2 linked regions of the Lonchura striata genome follow. The protein of the gene in region 1 interacts with the protein of each later gene in a pairwise test. Links are inferred from orthologs where the notes say so. Each region holds a gene or a part of one and is shown on either strand. Other genes may lie near its edges.

The links. The genes of interacting proteins can lie anywhere in the genome.
Region 2: the proteins of PUM2 (region 1) and DAZL interact in a two-hybrid assay, tested with the Homo sapiens proteins (2 studies listed by BioGRID and IntAct). The link is inferred for Lonchura striata from reciprocal best matches to the Homo sapiens genes PUM2 and DAZL.

Annotation. Positions count from the first base shown.
Region 1 is NC_134605.1:104,350,064-104,358,020, reverse strand, and holds the start of PUM2 (pumilio homolog 2), read left to right. Parts: upstream 1-4,512; 5' UTR 4,513-4,523; coding exon 4,524-4,604; intron 4,605-7,957. UniProt on the Homo sapiens protein: Sequence-specific RNA-binding protein that acts as a post-transcriptional repressor by binding the 3'-UTR of mRNA targets.
Region 2 is NC_134603.1:121,531,810-121,539,975, reverse strand, and holds the start of DAZL (deleted in azoospermia-like), read right to left. Parts: upstream 3,533-8,166; coding exon 3,415-3,532; intron 3,374-3,414; coding exon 3,351-3,373; intron 1,218-3,350; coding exon 1,083-1,217; intron 788-1,082; coding exon 696-787; intron 1-695. UniProt on the Homo sapiens protein: RNA-binding protein, which is essential for gametogenesis in both males and females. Plays a central role during spermatogenesis.

The DNA of each region.
Region 1 (7,957 bases):
AAGGAGAAGCTGCAGAGACTGAACAGGTTAGTGGTCAAAAGCAATAGAACAGAAGATCAGCTCTGACTTAGCACATGAATGGCTGTGGCAGGGAAAGGCTGTGCTTGTGAAGCAATGGTGAGGCAAAACGATGCATGGATGGGAAAGTCCTTCTGTAAAAAGAGTCTGCAGCTCCTAAGCCTGTTTCTCTGAGGCTCTGGGGACAGATTAGCCAAGAGGGAGGCTTGGCTCACTGGGGCAGAGTTTTTACTGCAGTAAACCCTCCTATGTGTTATGGTAAAACATGAAATACAAACAAATTCCTACAGCAATACATCTAGCAGCATGTCTAGGGACTGTAGCATTTCAGACTCATTGATTTTATTAATTAAAGTCTCTTGACAAAATGGGATGCAGAACCCAATGCATCGGGTGCCTAGATTTGGTATGCAGTGGTGATGTGGGAAAGTTAATTTCAGGATGGGATCTGCTCCTGCAAATGCATGAAACATCCAGATCATCATATTTTACCAAGGTGTAGCTCACAAGGGACATGCTAAGGATATAAAGCACCATTCCAAGGCCCTGCTCTGGCACTGGGACAGACAGCTCCAATGGCTCCCGAGCTGCAAGGCTGTCCCTCAGCAAAGGTGTAGGTAGTTAACTGCGACTGTTTTTTCAGAGAACTCAGAGGTTCACACATCCCTGACTGCCCCTCTTAAGATGCAGAATGACAGCCAGACTGGGGATTAGAGAGGGGATAGTTAGATGTGGGGTTTGAACTAGAGGGCCATTAAATGCCTTCCAACTTAAACAACTCTATGCTTCTCTGACAGCAAGGCCATTAAGCAGAAGATCTGAGATAAAGATATTGACTTCTTCCCTGCAGAACAGACCAGCTGCAGCAGAGGGCAGCCAAAGTAGGCTGCTGATCTGGGGACTCTTTCCAAAGAAGTCATGCCTGTAAGTCTTGAGCAAAGGAATCAAATTTGGGTGGTCCCCCGTACTGGGAGTGAAGGATGTCACACACCTTGTTTTAAAAGAGTGCAAGATTTAGCAGGGACCTTTTTTTGTGGAGATGGTTTGAAAGTGTCTACCACATCTAGTTGTTTCATTTTCATGGCAGAATACCTTTGTTTTAATTAATACAGGTTAAGTATTTGCTACCCTGATAGATCCAACAGCACTGTTTGTCAAAACTGCTGCTGGGACATTGAGGATACTTATTCACAGAAAAACAAAGCATTACTGTGTTAGAGGAGTTTATCTGAAATGTCTGCAGTGTACACAGAGCACAGACAGCTGTTAGCATATCATTAGCAAGAGGAATACCTAGGAAAAACATTTTGTAATGGACTGATATCAAGTAAAACTATCTAAAGCATTAAGTATTTTTAAAGTTTCCACTCAGAACAAAGGTCAGAGAGAAAGTAATTTCTTGAACTATTTTAGCATAGTCAAAAACTTTAGTGCCATTATTAAATTGTGAGATGTGTGGTGGTGGAATTGTTTTATTCTTTAAAAAAAAAAAACTTTAGAAAATAATCAAATAATTGTATTTATCAGATCAAATCCCAAACTGATTGCACTTAAACATTTTTCTGTTTCATGATCAGTTTGGGTTTTTCTGAGAAAAAGCACACTGAGAAACACATTGATGTCAAAATCATTCAAGCTCATGCTTATCAAATGCATGTTGAGTTCTTTGTGAAGATTTGATGCTTTATACAAACACTGATTATAATTATTGAGGACAAACAGAGTCCCCAGAAGGGTAAGAGCTGGAGAGCTGGTATAATGTAGACCAGCTGCTGTAAGTGTTCAGGATGCCAAGAGCATAACAGGGTTTCCTTCAGTCCCAGCTGGTCTGCATGAAGGGAAGGGCTGGCTTGGAGGCTGTGACTTAGAGGCCTTCCCTCCTCAGTAAGCACAGGAATTGGCTTTTCAGCCCTGCAGCCTCCCTGGAGACAGCCCCAGGTGGCAGTGGGATGGGACACTGGGGATCACAGAGATTAGCCACGTGAGTGGCAGCAGGCTGCAGACATCTGAGTATTTAGCTGACTAGTATTAGACTCAAGAAGTCATTTTCATTTCTTGCAGAAATGTTTCTATCTTTATCAGGAGCTGGGAACTTTTATGTTCTTAACCATGTCTATAAATACTGAAAACAGTGAGGATTTTCTCCTTTGAGACATCTCTATTTTTAAGAACACAGTTGGTAGTCACAGACATCTCATCCACACAAGTGCTGTGCCAGCAGTAGCACCAGTACAGGTGCTATTCCTGCAGCCCAGCTCGCCTGGAGTCACTGCCACAGGCAGGGCTGGCCTCCTCCCTGCCAGCACATCGAGGGGTCAGCAGCACCAATGTGCACTGCCCACAGGGCCCAGAGCCAGGCTTGGCTGAAGGGTTGAGCTGTGGATGGCACCTGCCACTGTTTCCTGCACTGGAGCATTCTCTAACCAGGCTCTTAAAGAATGGCTAAAAAGGCAAAATAGGGGATTTTCTTGTGTTTTAAAATGTCATTGACATGCAGAGATCCCTCTAATTTTTAGGGGCTGCTAAATATGCAGAATTTATGCTCATGTTGAGGTTATCAACACGCAGTGCTGGCAATGCCTACCTGCACCAGAACTGTATTTACCAACAGCACCTCCCTGCTGTACCAGTGATCCCATCTTTAACTCTCTCATGGGAAGGGCATAATTGGCTCTTTGCCTAAAATCACCACACAGTAACTATTAGCACAGCAGTTAACTAATAAATTAGTAACTGCCGAGATGCATTTTCATTTGGTGTAACACACACATGCAAACGTACATGGGTGGCGTGGGGTGTTACCAGGGACCACTGGGGACCCCTCAAACAGGCCTCGCCTTCCCTTTGTCTCCCAGGCCCCCAGGTGGGTGCCACTTCCCACTGCCACGCTTCCTGAAAAGCCTAAAATCACAGGATCACAGAATTGTTAGGGTTGGAAGGGACCTCTGGAGATCATTTAGTCCAGCCCCTGCCAAGGCAGGTTCACAAGAATTTGTCCAGGTGGGTTTTGAATGGAGATGAAGATTCCATGGCATCCCTGGGGAGCCTTTTCCAGTGCTCTGCCATGTCAATTTAAAGTTCTTCTCCATGTTCAGGTGGAACTTCTTGTATTTTAGTTCATTGCCACTGCTCTTGTCACTGGGCACCCCTTAAAAGTCTGGCACCAGCCAGGTGCTCCAGGCTGGAGGAAACTGAGAGGAGACCTCATTTCAGTCTTCAGCATCCTCATGGGGGAAGTGGAGGGGCAAGCAGCAATCTCTCCTCTCTGGTGACCAGTGACAGGAACCAAGGGAGTGGCTTGAAGATGAGTCAGGGGATGTTTAGCTTACGTATCAGGGAAAGGTTTCACCCAGAGAGAGGTTGGCTGGACACTGCAACAGGCTCCCCAGGACAGTGGTCACAGCACCAAGCCTAAGAGAGTTCAAGAAGCACTTGGACAACATTTTAAGGCACATGGTGTGACTCGGGATGTCTGTCCCGTGCGGGGCCAGGAGGTGGACTTCTTGATCCTGATGGGTGCCTTCAAACTCAGCAAATTCTATGATTCTGTGATCCTCTTGGCACCTGCCTTTGACATACTTATATGTATTAATGAGATCCGCTCTCGGTTTTCTCTTGACTGAACAGGCCCAGCTTCCACAAAGTCCTCTCATACGGGACATGCTCCTGACCGCACATCATCGTTGTGGCCTCCACTGGACCCCCTCCAATAGTTCCCTGTCGTTCTGGCACTAGGAGCCCAGAGCTGGCGGCAGTAAATGCAGGAGAGCACAAGCACACCAGGCCAGCGCTACTGACGCTGCCGGCGAGCAGGACAGGGACGGGGACAGGGACGGGGATGGGGACGGGGACTGGGATGGGGACAGGGACAGGGACGGGGACAGGGACGGGGATGGGGACAGGGACGGGGACGGGGACAGGGACGGGGATGGGGACGGGGACACCCCTCCGCCGTGCCCGCTGAGGGGCGGCGGGCGGCGCATGCGCGGCGGAAGGGGCCGGGGGCCGCCGCCTCCTCCCTCCGCCTCCCCGCGGGCCGGGCCGGGGCGCGCAGGCGCGGCGGGGCCGGGGCGGGCAGGGGCGGCGGGGCCGAGCGGCGGCGGCGGCCGGGGGGAGCGGCCGGGGAGGTTCAGCCGCGCTCTCGCTGTCCCTGTCCCTCCGCGCGATGTTGTTGTGAGCCCCGAGCGGGCGGGAGGGGAGGCAGGAAGGAGCGGCGCCCAGCGGGAGCGGCAGGAGGAGGAGGAAGGGGCCGGTGGGCGGGCAGGCGTGTCCCAGCGGCCGCTCCGGCTCCGTCGCCGCCAGCCAGCCCGTGAGTAGCCCCGGGGGGCCGGCGCCGCGCTGGGAAGGCCGCGGGCGGGCGGAGCGGGCGGGCGGGCCCCCTTCCTCCAGCCCCCTTTTGTCTGCGGGTTCGGCTGCGCGCCGAGGGAGGGGAGAGGGAGGGAAGGAGGAGGAGGAGGAGGAGGAGGAGGAGGAGGAGGAGGAGGAGGAGGAGGAGGGAGGGGGCCATGTTGTGGCAGGTCACCGGGCGGCGCGCGGCCTGCGCGGCGGCCTCGCCGCCTTTGTGTCCGCCCGGGAGCGGCGCCGAGGTGGGGACGCAGCGAGCGCCGTGAGGGGCGGCGGCGCCGGGGGAGCGAGGAGGGAGGGAGGGAGGGAGGGGCGGCATTGTGCGGTCGGGGAGCCGAGCCCGGCCCGGCGGGGCGTGCGGGGCCGCGCTGCTGCCCGGGGCAGCGCCGGGGCCCGGGGCAGGCGGGGGCGGACGCAGCCCCGGGGCTGCAATGGACTCGGGCTCGGGGGGAGCGGAGACAGGGGCGGCGCTCGGACCCCACGGGCCACTGCGTGGCTGGGATCACACGGGCTTTGTTCGAACGTGCGAAAAACTTGTGTTGTTTTTTTAGTGCTCTTAAAGATAATAACCGCTTCCTGAGAGTGCAGCGAGAAGGCCAAATGCCTTTGGTAAGCTGGTGGCACACAATGAAGCGGTAGGGTTTGATTCCACTTCAAATCTGCCTGTGCAGACCACAAAAACAAAAAGTTGAGGGAAATGCCTCCTGTCCTGAGTGGATCGTGCCTACAGAGAACAGTTTGGGGTTAATCTCCGTGGCAGTTATTGTGCAAAGATTTTCGGGTTTTGTTTCGGCATTGTTTTCTCGTGTATTTCCTAAGGTCAGATCCTTATTTCTTTGAGAGAAAATATTTTTGGGACGGTTTATATTCTTCTGGCTTACAGTTTGTAGCAAGATGGCTTAATACCAAAATGTGCAGCATGTTTGAGATGTGATAAAGAGCCTCTTATCACCTGATTTCGGGATGCTTTTTTTCTGAGCAATTAGATGTGTATGAGCAATGTGAATCAGTAAAACTCTTAATTCGCCTAATATTCCCTACATATGCTACAGTTAACAAAATACTTTGAGGTTTATTTTACTTTCTCTTTGTTGCATCTCCACTGAGAGATCAGGCCTTCATAGTTTCAGTAAGCTAATGGTGTAGCTCTTCAGGTATGTGGGATATGAATGCATTCAAAATATAAACTATGCCATGTTACCATTTTTACACATAAAGCGTAGTTTTGTGTTATATTTAGTCACGTCTAGGTTTAAAACCAGATGTTAACAACAGTCGCAGTTTTATTGAGAAGCTGAGGGAAATGCTGCCTGCTTTGCTCAACAACTGTGTCAACGCGAGTATAAATATGCTAGGGAAGTGGGAGAAGGAAACTCGCATTAAAAGGGAAATGCTAATTTAGTGGTGGTGTCGTTTGGGTTATATGGGTGGAAATGACACCAGATCACCTGACAGTTTCTGAAGTGTTCAGAGTTGAAAATTTGGAATTTGGCCCAGCAGAATGGTTAGTAGGCAAATGCATGTGAGAAACTGCTTGATAATGCACATTCTGCAGTATATTATGTGGATGTTGTACAAAGGAAAGTCCATGTTATTTGAATACTCTGTTTTCTGCATTAATAACAATGGTTTGATTTTTTTCCCCTCGTAGTATCACTGTAGTAATAAATCTTCTATTTGAGGCATGTTGGCACAGCGCTGAGGCAATTGTAATTGTATCTGGTATCGTGATTGAGCTAATAGTGCAAGCAGTTGGCTGAAAGAGCTGGGCTTGCATGTCTTTTTATAAGAAGATGCCTCTTGTTATGACAGTGTATATTAAATCTTACAGTGGATTGTGGAGTACACTGAAGGCTTTATGTAGTTGTTTTCCTTGGGTGTTTCTCTGCAATGTTCTCGGTGGGCCAGATGTTGCAGGTGTGTTACAGAACGTCAGCTTGCTGAAACTGTGAACTAGATTTGATTTTTAAGCAGCACTTTCTAGTTCACTTTTAGATATTGCCCCCTCTCCTTCATTTAGTGATACTTGAGTGTGTATTGAATAGTCAGCATGTGTAGAAGCATTCTCCTTGATAATTTAATCTTTCTTTTTACAGTGGTTTCCAAAATTCCAGAATTGTTAATCTAAGTTTTTTACACAGAGGCAAGTAAGCCAATAGAAGTTTTGAATTCCTACTTGTATGTCTTCCTGCTTATTTTTCTGAATGTGGAATTATATGAAAATTAACTGTCTATTGCACTAAAAGGAAACCTAAATTCTCTTGGATGTTAAATTCTATGTTGAGAATCTCCTGTAAAATGAGCATTAATACATTGGATTTTCTTTTTACAAAGTTTGTTAGAAACTCTACAGAGGAAACGCATAAGACAGTAGACATAATGTATAAATGCTTCTCATTGTGTGTATCAAAAATGTAGATGTGTATGAGAGTTATCAATCTTCTTTATCTTCAAGTAATTTAAGTGAAAATGTTTGCCCCATTTAATTGCAATTTCCCCACCCATAACATAACTCTTGTCTTGCTTATTCCATGTAAGCCAATGCCTAGGCCTTTGTCTTGGCAATGAGGAAAGAAATCTTTCCTTTAAAACCTCCTGTAACAAATATTACCAATTGTGTAGTGTTGCTAGTAATGAAGTTGGAGGCACTTCACAGTCATGTAGTGGAAAACCATTTTAAATTACATCAAAACACGTAAAGGATTCAGTTCTAGCTGCTTCGGTGTCATTTCAAACAAGTTATATAAAATTCATACAATGGTTGCATGCTGAAACTTTACAGCAAGATTTAGTTTGGATCTCACTCAGAGTACCTGCTGTGGCTTTTAGAATAGTAGGCAAGAGCTGGTATGTGAAATGTTTAGCTTACAAATAAAGGCTACTTATCTCTAAAGATTATATTTCATTATTGCTTAGCAGATAGTTTTTCTAAACATGGTTATTTAAGAGTAGTTGTAGGTACGTAGAAGAAATGCATCAGAAGAGGTTATGACAACCATCTTAGGAGTTCAGAAGGAAATGCCTAACTCCATAGCAAAACCACCTCAGTAATAAGCCACATTTGACTTTTTTGCCAGTTCTCTGTATATGCATTTATTTACACTAAACTTGAGTGCTGATATGATCTACTGTCCTCTGCAGGCTATGCTAAAAGCACATCTGCAGCCTTTCTAGGCAGGCTTATTTTCTGACACCACATATTTGTGTACCTTGGACTACGTAATCTGGTCTACGTTTTGTAGTTGTGATTATTTTAAATTTAATTTTCCATACAACTCCAGGGTAGATTACCTCTTGCTTTATTGAGGTGTTGGCAGAAGTATCAGAGGTAATAGGTCTGGTTGTCCATCTTTCCATATAATGCTTTCAGTATGTAATTCCTAGTGGAAGTAAGTGGAGTCATGTCAGATCTATGTGTTCATAACTTTGCTGTTAGATTTCATCCATGTTTTTTTAGGAAGAATTTTGGATGATGGATTGAACTAGTCATATAGACATTTTGCATGGTTGATACAAAGTTTAATGTAGAATTAGATGATAAATCTCTTCACAAAGGAAGTGAGTTTTTAAAAGCTGCATTAAGTTCTGTAACTCT
Region 2 (8,166 bases), on another chromosome or scaffold:
AAGCATAGAATCTAAGAAAAACTGGGCTGGAAGGAACTTCAAGAGGATCCATCTCCTTCTCCTCAGGAGGGAAAAGCTCAAAACTGGGATGGCTTCCTCAGAACTCAACAGGGTAAGGTCCTTCATCTTATTTAAGGGTTTCCCCACAGTAATCCAGAACTCTTCTACATATATATAAGGGAATTTCCTTTGTTTCAACTTTGTTCACATACTTGGTTTCACTCTTCACGCAAAGAAACTCGGCCTGTTTTACTCTAGAACTTATTCACAAGTGTCAAGAGAGAGCACAGCCACTGCCCTAAATAAGCCATCTTAATTCTCTTAATCATCCTGAACTGTCCCCAGATTTTTAACTACTCCAGCCAACAGAACAGTCTTATAAAAGCATTGACTGTATAAGCATCACATGAGTTAGGCTTTGCTTCCAACGGCTGAGTGACAGTGAGCTTCTTTTCCTTGAACAGAGAGGCCAAAGTCAGAAAATTAATGCTATTCTTTGTAAGATTATACAGATTTAGTTGGAGGCAGTATAGATTTACTAGTTTCACAGTCTTAACTCACCACAACAGAAAACTGCATCTACTATTAAGGCTTATACATGTCAAGTGTGTTGCTAAGTATCTGCTCATATCGCCTATTACAGAATGCTGTCCACATAAGCAGCAACTTAAAACAACTACTCATATTCTACCCACCCTTTTGAAATACCAGATCTGTCAGTGATGACCTTCACCTCCTTCACAGTACCATATTGTTCAAAGACACTCCGAATTTCTCCTTCATTCACCTACAAGAAAACAAGGTCTTAAACATCTCCAAAAACATTCAAGTGCTTAGAACTGATTTAAAGCAGAGAGTACCATTTCTTAAAATTATTTTCCACTACCATAAGAACTAAACATGTTCCAGAAATCTCCTATAACACTTCAATACCTTCAAGATTGGCAAATATACACACAAAGAAAAAATAAAAAGAACCCCACCACCACAAAGTAATAAAAAAATCCACACTCAAACAGGACCAAAATTTCCACTGATGTACACCCTTTATTAATTTTGAACTACTAAAAGTGTATACATACCCTTAAGTCAATTCCAGCAACAAAGACTGTGTTTGGCATGATTTTTCCTTCTGGTAAAACATAGCCCTGACTGACTGCTGCTGAATAGGCACTGCCCTCCATGGCGTCTGAGTGCTGGGTTTCCACATGCGCTGCCTAAAAAATTTAAACAAAAATACTTATTTTAGTCAACTAGATTACATTTTAAGACACCAGAATGCCTGCACCTTCTTGCAGATATAGCAGGGGATGAGGAATTTCAATAGCACAAATGGACCATTCATTGGTTCTAACACTTCTCAGTTCAAATTAAACTGGCTCTACAAAATCTGGCAGGAAGATTAACATGAAGTGAGCAGTTTTTCACCCACCTGGTATGCTGCTTTTGTTTGGCTGCATACTCAGCTAAAGGACATTAGAACTGAAATCTGAGATGATAACTCCTCAAGCTGACCTAACTCTTGCTTCTACTTTTTTCTTTCTGGATGTGTCAGTGAACCAAGCTAGAAGTGGTATTCACTTTGTCGTGCAAGTTCTTGGCAGCCCTAAAACAGGAAACGGCTCTCATAAGAGGTGCCCAGCCAGCACCAGCTGAAGGAAGCTGGTAGCCATGGACACTGGTGATAGCCACAGATGCTGCTGGTACACCTGTCACACATGGCCTTGGCCACCATGGAAGTGCAGTGTTCCTGCCTCACACTAATGACGCAGAATTTTCAAAGAAAATTAACTGATTTAACACTCTCACACATTATGTACCTGCAAGAAAGAATAAACAGACTACTTAGGCATTCTGGCAAGCTGGGAAACATCAAAAGTAAGATTAATATACATATTTCCTAGAACTTGAAAAGGAAATAAAAATGCACAGTGGTAAAATTCTCCTAGAACAAAAAAGAAAATTTCCCTCCAAAGCCACTTTTCAAGTCCTCAGTACTATCATGGAAAATGTTTGCCAATTCAAAAAAATTACTGTCTTATCTAAAGCCAAATAATTTTACCAACATAGCACTATCTGAATTAACAGGTTTTTTTCTTCTCTCGTCAAAAAAGAAAATTAATCTGTTTGCTCCCTATTATTCCTGCAAATATGAAGTTTAAACTGATGAGGGGAAACCGGTATAAAGGTCCTCCTTACAGCAGTCAGAAGACTAGTTAAGAGTTTTGGCAAAAGAAAAGGTAGAAAAGGACTAGGTGGAGGAAATACCTGCCTACCTGTGAGAAAACCCTGGGCTTGGTCTGGGGTCTCGTGTGGTGGTAAAGTCTCTCCTTCAACCCGTGCTTCCAAAGAAAAACTCTGCAGCCTCTTGTTGTTTGGTTTCAAGGCAGTTTATTGTTAGTTATCTAAAAGATTGTCTTCGCGGGGTGCGGCTGTTTGGTCAGCGGCCCAAGCAGAGACACACACCCTGACACCCTCACTGTCTGCTGTCTTCTTCTCCCCCCGGCCCAGGGCTGCTGCTATCTTTTATGATATATTACGTATTACATGTTTATAGTTTACCCCCCAATACCTACTACCTATATAACAAAGTACTTTTTTACTCTAAACCAATCTGTGAGTGCCAGCATCACCGAGAACATGGAGGCAAGGAAGAAGGAGGAAGAACAGGATCAGCCCACTTTCCTCCATCTTAGAACTTCTGACCCCCATGTACAAAGTAAAAACCCCCCGTCCCCCGTACAATACTAAAAAAAATTCCCCTCTGTTTTGTAGCTACTTTTACTATGCTATCTATCCCTTTGTGACTGCTTGCTCTACCTTCAAAGTTGGTAACTCATTCCATGGCTCAAACTCAAAATCACAGCTGTTTGCAGCTGCCGGCCAGGGTCTCAAATGCTTCTGACCAAGGCCTGGAACCTCTAAAAATGTCTGAGGGACATTTTGAGTTCCAACATCTACCCACGCGTGTTACAAACTTCACTCAGTTTTATGCTCATCCAGGAAAGAAAAACGTTCACTTTTTTTTTTTGGCCACAAAAGCTCATGATTTCTCAGGCTTCTCCCCTGGCCTCAGCACATTCTCTGTTTAAAGTAAGCATTAGGTTTTTTGAGTTTTTTTGGTTTTATTTTTAAATTGAAGCATTTAACCCCGTGACCCACGTCCCGCTGGGCGGACAGTGCGCGCAGTCGCCATGCCAGCGCCGGAGCCCGCGGGAAGCACATGGCTGCGGCCGCAGCCTCCCCGCTGGGCACTAAGCGGAGCTCTCGGGCCAGCACCGCGCGCTAGGCACAGCTTCTCCGGCATAAAACAAAAAACTCAATAAAAAAAAAAAGCTCCACCGCCTTACTCGTATAGCGTGAAGCGCCAGCGCTACAGTGGCAAATCATGTTTCTCAAACAAAAAGAACAAACGGCAAAGCAGCACGCTGGGGCGAGCCGAGGAGCCCGCAGCACTCCGGGCGACGCCCGCCCTCGGGGGGGGGGCGTTGGACCTCGGGCCGGCGAGGCGCCGCTCGCGTGCCGCCGCCATTTTACAGCCTCACACCCGGGCTGCCCGGCGCCGACGGGGCGCGGGCGGGGAGCTTTGGCGCTGAGAACAATGAAAGCTGTTCGCAAGCCCCAGACAAGGGGTACTGCCGGAGCCTACGCACACCGGGTACACCGCCCGCCACGGGCAGGCGGAGGGATGCCCGCCCAGCCGTGCGGGACAGCGCTATTTTAGCACCGCCACAAAATGGCCGCTCGAGGGTGTGAAGCGTGTTCCGACGCCAAGCCTCCTGCAGACCGTAACACCGATAGCTACGAGCCAGAGGTTCCCCTGCACAAGCCCCTGGCCTGGCAATTGCGGTATTCCCTCCTTCACCGTAACCGCTCGTCTCGCAAGGTGGTAAAACCCTCAAGACAGTTATAGCGCTACTAGCCCTCAGGGGTTCAGCCCCGTCGCCGCGTTACAAGGGGACCCTGCTCCAGCTGAGAGTATTCCCATCCCTCACCCCAAGAACAACCCGACAAAGTTAGTACTCCACTCTCCGCTCCGCTGCCCGCCGGGGGCCCCGCCTCAAAGCACATAACCCAGCAGAAGCCCGCCCGGCGGCTCGGCATTTAAACGCCCCTGCCCCACTGCCCCAGCATGGCTCACCTCCGGCGTTTACTCACCATAGCTAACACTTAATAAGGTTTTCAAACAAAACCCGTATGAACTTCTTTGAGAAAAACTAAGCTCAGGCGGTCACTTCTTCTCGACGGCGAAGCCGGGCTCCCGACGTCGATAAAGCGGGTCCGAGGTAATCCCGTTCTCTTTAAATAGCCCCACTGGGGGATGGGACAGGAGAGGCCACACCCTCCCTCCTCCCTCGCACGCGTGGTGCCCCCCCACCCCCTTGGCGCCCGGCTCCTTGTCCCTCGGTGTCTGAGTTTTAGAAGACAAAGGATCGAGAATACTGTAGCTTTTCTGGTTGTTTTTTTGGGGGGTTTTTTGGTTTTTTTTTTTTTTGAGGAGGCGGATTAGGTTGCGACTATCATTTGTGGCATTTTTGCACAGGAAGTTGTTGAGTGTATGTCATAGCAGCAGCAGCTCTTGCCTTTTTGACAAGAGCTTGTACTTTGCTTGTGGAAGTTTTGAGAATGGTGTGTTGTTGAAGAGGCTTTCACACGTTTTGAGGCAAATGCTCAAAGTAGCTCTCAATTAATGTTGTCACAAACCAATACTATGTAGCTGTGCTAGAGTAATCGGTCTCCATTACCCTGTGCTGAATTCCAGCTTTCTGCCCAATCACCAGTGGGCCAAGTTCTTTCTATAAGGAAATCTCTCTGGAAGCTCTCCTGGTTCTACAGGAATAAGATGAAATTTGGAAATTAGTTTTAAATAGCTGTTTGCCACTGGTATCAAATGTTTAGAAGAGATACTGATTTTAGAAGGTTCAAGGGGGAGGGGAACATCTCACCAAAATTAACCCAACCTCTGACTGGGCTAGGTCAATAAGATGTTTAATTTATGGTTTGGTTCTTTGGGTTTTCTTTGTTTGTTCGGGCTTGGAGATTTTGTTTTGGGTTTGTTTATGTTTTAGTGTTTTGTATGTTTTGGTTATTTTTATAGCAAAGAGATACAAGTGATCTTTGTAAAAGATGAAAAATTGAAGTGGAAGGCAAAACTGATGGAGTGTATTTAACATGTAAGATGGTTTTTCCAATCAAATTTTATGTGTTCTAAAGATTCAACTTTTTATACTCTCTTAAATGAATTAAATAAATTCTGTTAATCGGATCAGATGGCCTCTTGTGCTCAATCATAACACCAAGTGTTCACCTTTTCCAAATGTTATCTTAATAATCCAAAGTAGACTGCTGCACTGGATTTACATGTGACCCAGAGCTGGTTTAGGCAATAGCAATAACAAAGGCCTGATCACATAGAAGTGTTTTTGTTACCTATAGAAGAGATTTTGTTGAATCTGGTGGGGTTGCAATATTATCTAAAGGTAAGCATATGCCTGGGCTTTCATGCAGCTAATGCCCGCTTAATTAAATGGAAGGCATGCTGTACAATACTTTATCAGATCTTATTTGAAATGGCTGAGACTTTGAAAATGGGCCCCAACAATGAGGGAAAATAATACATAGTATCTACTTGGGTGTAATGGATTCATATTTGACCTTAAGGGTGGCAACAAGTGAGGCTGTTCTGAGCTTTTTGTACTGGATTTGGGTCAGGCTTGTGTCCTGTTTTCCTTAACTAGGCATTAGCTTCTAAAATTGGAGAAGATCTGTTGCTTAAAACAAAGAAGAAAGTAATTTCTTTTCTGCTGCCCATACATAAATTTCAAAAGGAGTGGAGGAAGTGGAGTAGGAAATTATTGTCTTAGCTTGTTTTAGAAATACTGCTATTACAATGGTTAATGCTTAATAGATTTATTTGTTAAATGCACTAAGTAGCAGATGAAGAAATAAATTTTATATTCTGCTACACCATGTAGTACTTACCACTTTAATATACAATTTTTTTTGTTTCGTTTTTCCTCTTTAATTAGGACATTGGTAAATAAATTAATTTAGTAAATCAGAGTAATTCAGTGAGAGACTGGCTTGGGATCTGATAGGCTGCAGTGGGTGAGAATTCTGCAGAAAATGTGATGAAAAATTACCAGTCTGATTACAGATAGTAGAGGTTGCATCTTGAAATTTAATACTCCTAAGTACAGGACTACGTGCTTTAAAAGTCAGGTTAGATTTAGTTTTCCTAGAAGTAGACTTAAAAGTAGATTGCAAGAGTAACATGTAGCATTTGAATTTTTGTAACATTTCTCCTAACTCATCTGCAATTTTGGGATCTTTTCTTGTGAATAATGTTGACTCTTTCTGTGAAGTTAAAGCAGCTAACTACTCCTAGGAGATTCATAAATATGAAGAGGAGAATATGAAAGATATATTCAAGCTATTAGATTAAGAACAAGAGAAGAAAGTCCCAATTTTTAGCAAGTTTGCCTAAGAAAAAGATGCTGAGTAACCAAAGAGGATTTGGATATCTGTTTTCTTTGTTTCCTACTTCATATTGAAGAGGGTGTCACATACATTTCACAGCAGGCTTTAAAGCCCTGAAGGGGTCATTCTATATCTGGTTAAACTTTGGATATTTCCTTTGCTGGTCTTTGCATCAGGGTAGCTATTTAAGAGGATATATCATAATGTTCTGATGAACACCTGCCTTTTTAAAAAAATCGACACTGTTATAATGTGCACTGAAACCACTAGAGTATCCATAATCAAACCACAATCTATATTTTCACTAGCGCAGTAAAATCCTTCAAAATGTAATGAATCATTTGCTGAATGATTTTCCTTATATTTCCCCCCCAACTCTAAGAAGTAATGCAACACAAGTAACTTCTATTAAAAAAAAACCACGGTGAATTTCTGCATGAATAATGTTTCAATATTTTTCCCCCTTGATTTGGATGAAAACTGGAATATTATTTTCAACATTAATTCATTTATTTAATTTTCATTAGTGAAATTTGGAAGCTTATTTTTTCTAGAAATGACATTATTTTAGAACACTTAAATTAGTCTGATAATAAATTTAACTCATACAGTCAATAACTAAGTGAAAACTTAAGAGTTAAACCATAGATAACTTGAGTTATCTGTAACCTAAGTCAGGACATTGTTGAAATCATTGTATAAGGTTGTCAAGGATATGTTTAGCACTATCAATAATTGTGATTAGCCTTTAGGCATTTAAATTCAGACAAAATCTAAATTTAACCTTAATAACTTTAACCACTATCGGAAAGCTGGTCCACACTTCAGCTTGTACTACAGCATGACTGAAACATTTCAGTGTATTGCACGGGTATGTAATATTCTTCATCCAAACATTCTACAAGAATGACTTAAACAAGTACATAGGAACAGGTAAAGACAGCTGTGCGTGATTCAGATCAAAAGTACCACCAGTTTGGTATCTTCGTTCAGAGCAGCCAGGAGTGCCTAGAGAAAAGATGTGAAGACAGGGCAGGTGTAGAGTGATTTTTCTTACTTTTAGTTTCTCCCTGTGCTTGCCAGCCTCCAAAGCATGTCCCGAGCCCCTTTCGAGACTGTATTTAATGATACTCAGTGATTTTTCTGTAAAGTTCTCTGGTCTCTTTTTCAACTTGCGCTTAATATATGCGTAAGAGTATTTAACACTGAGGCCCACAGGGCAAAAAGGCATTGCATGGAAAATGTACTTGGTTGCTTAAGCTTTTTTCCTTATAATTAGAGTAATTTCATTTACAACATTCCATTTCATCAACACTAAGTAAGACAGAATAAAAGTAAAATATATTTGTGAACAATTTCTTCTTGCTATCCTCTGCTTCCAGTACTGCTCTGAATTACAACAAATTGTATGCATCTCTGGTTTCTAGAAAGAGTTTTTTCACTGCACGGGGAGTTTGAATATCTGTCTGCTTTACAATTAGATTATTAGTAGGTTCTTCTACCTTTTCTCTAAACTTACAGACCCTGAAAACTTTTCTTCCCTCACCATGCTACAAGTTCAAATTGCAGTGAGCCATTTTCCTTCATCAGAGCATTTCACCTTAGTGTCTTGTGTTGAAAAAATAGAATATAGAAGCCAGAACAAACAGAAAAATACTGTCTGATATTGGTCACTTCCTTGCAGAG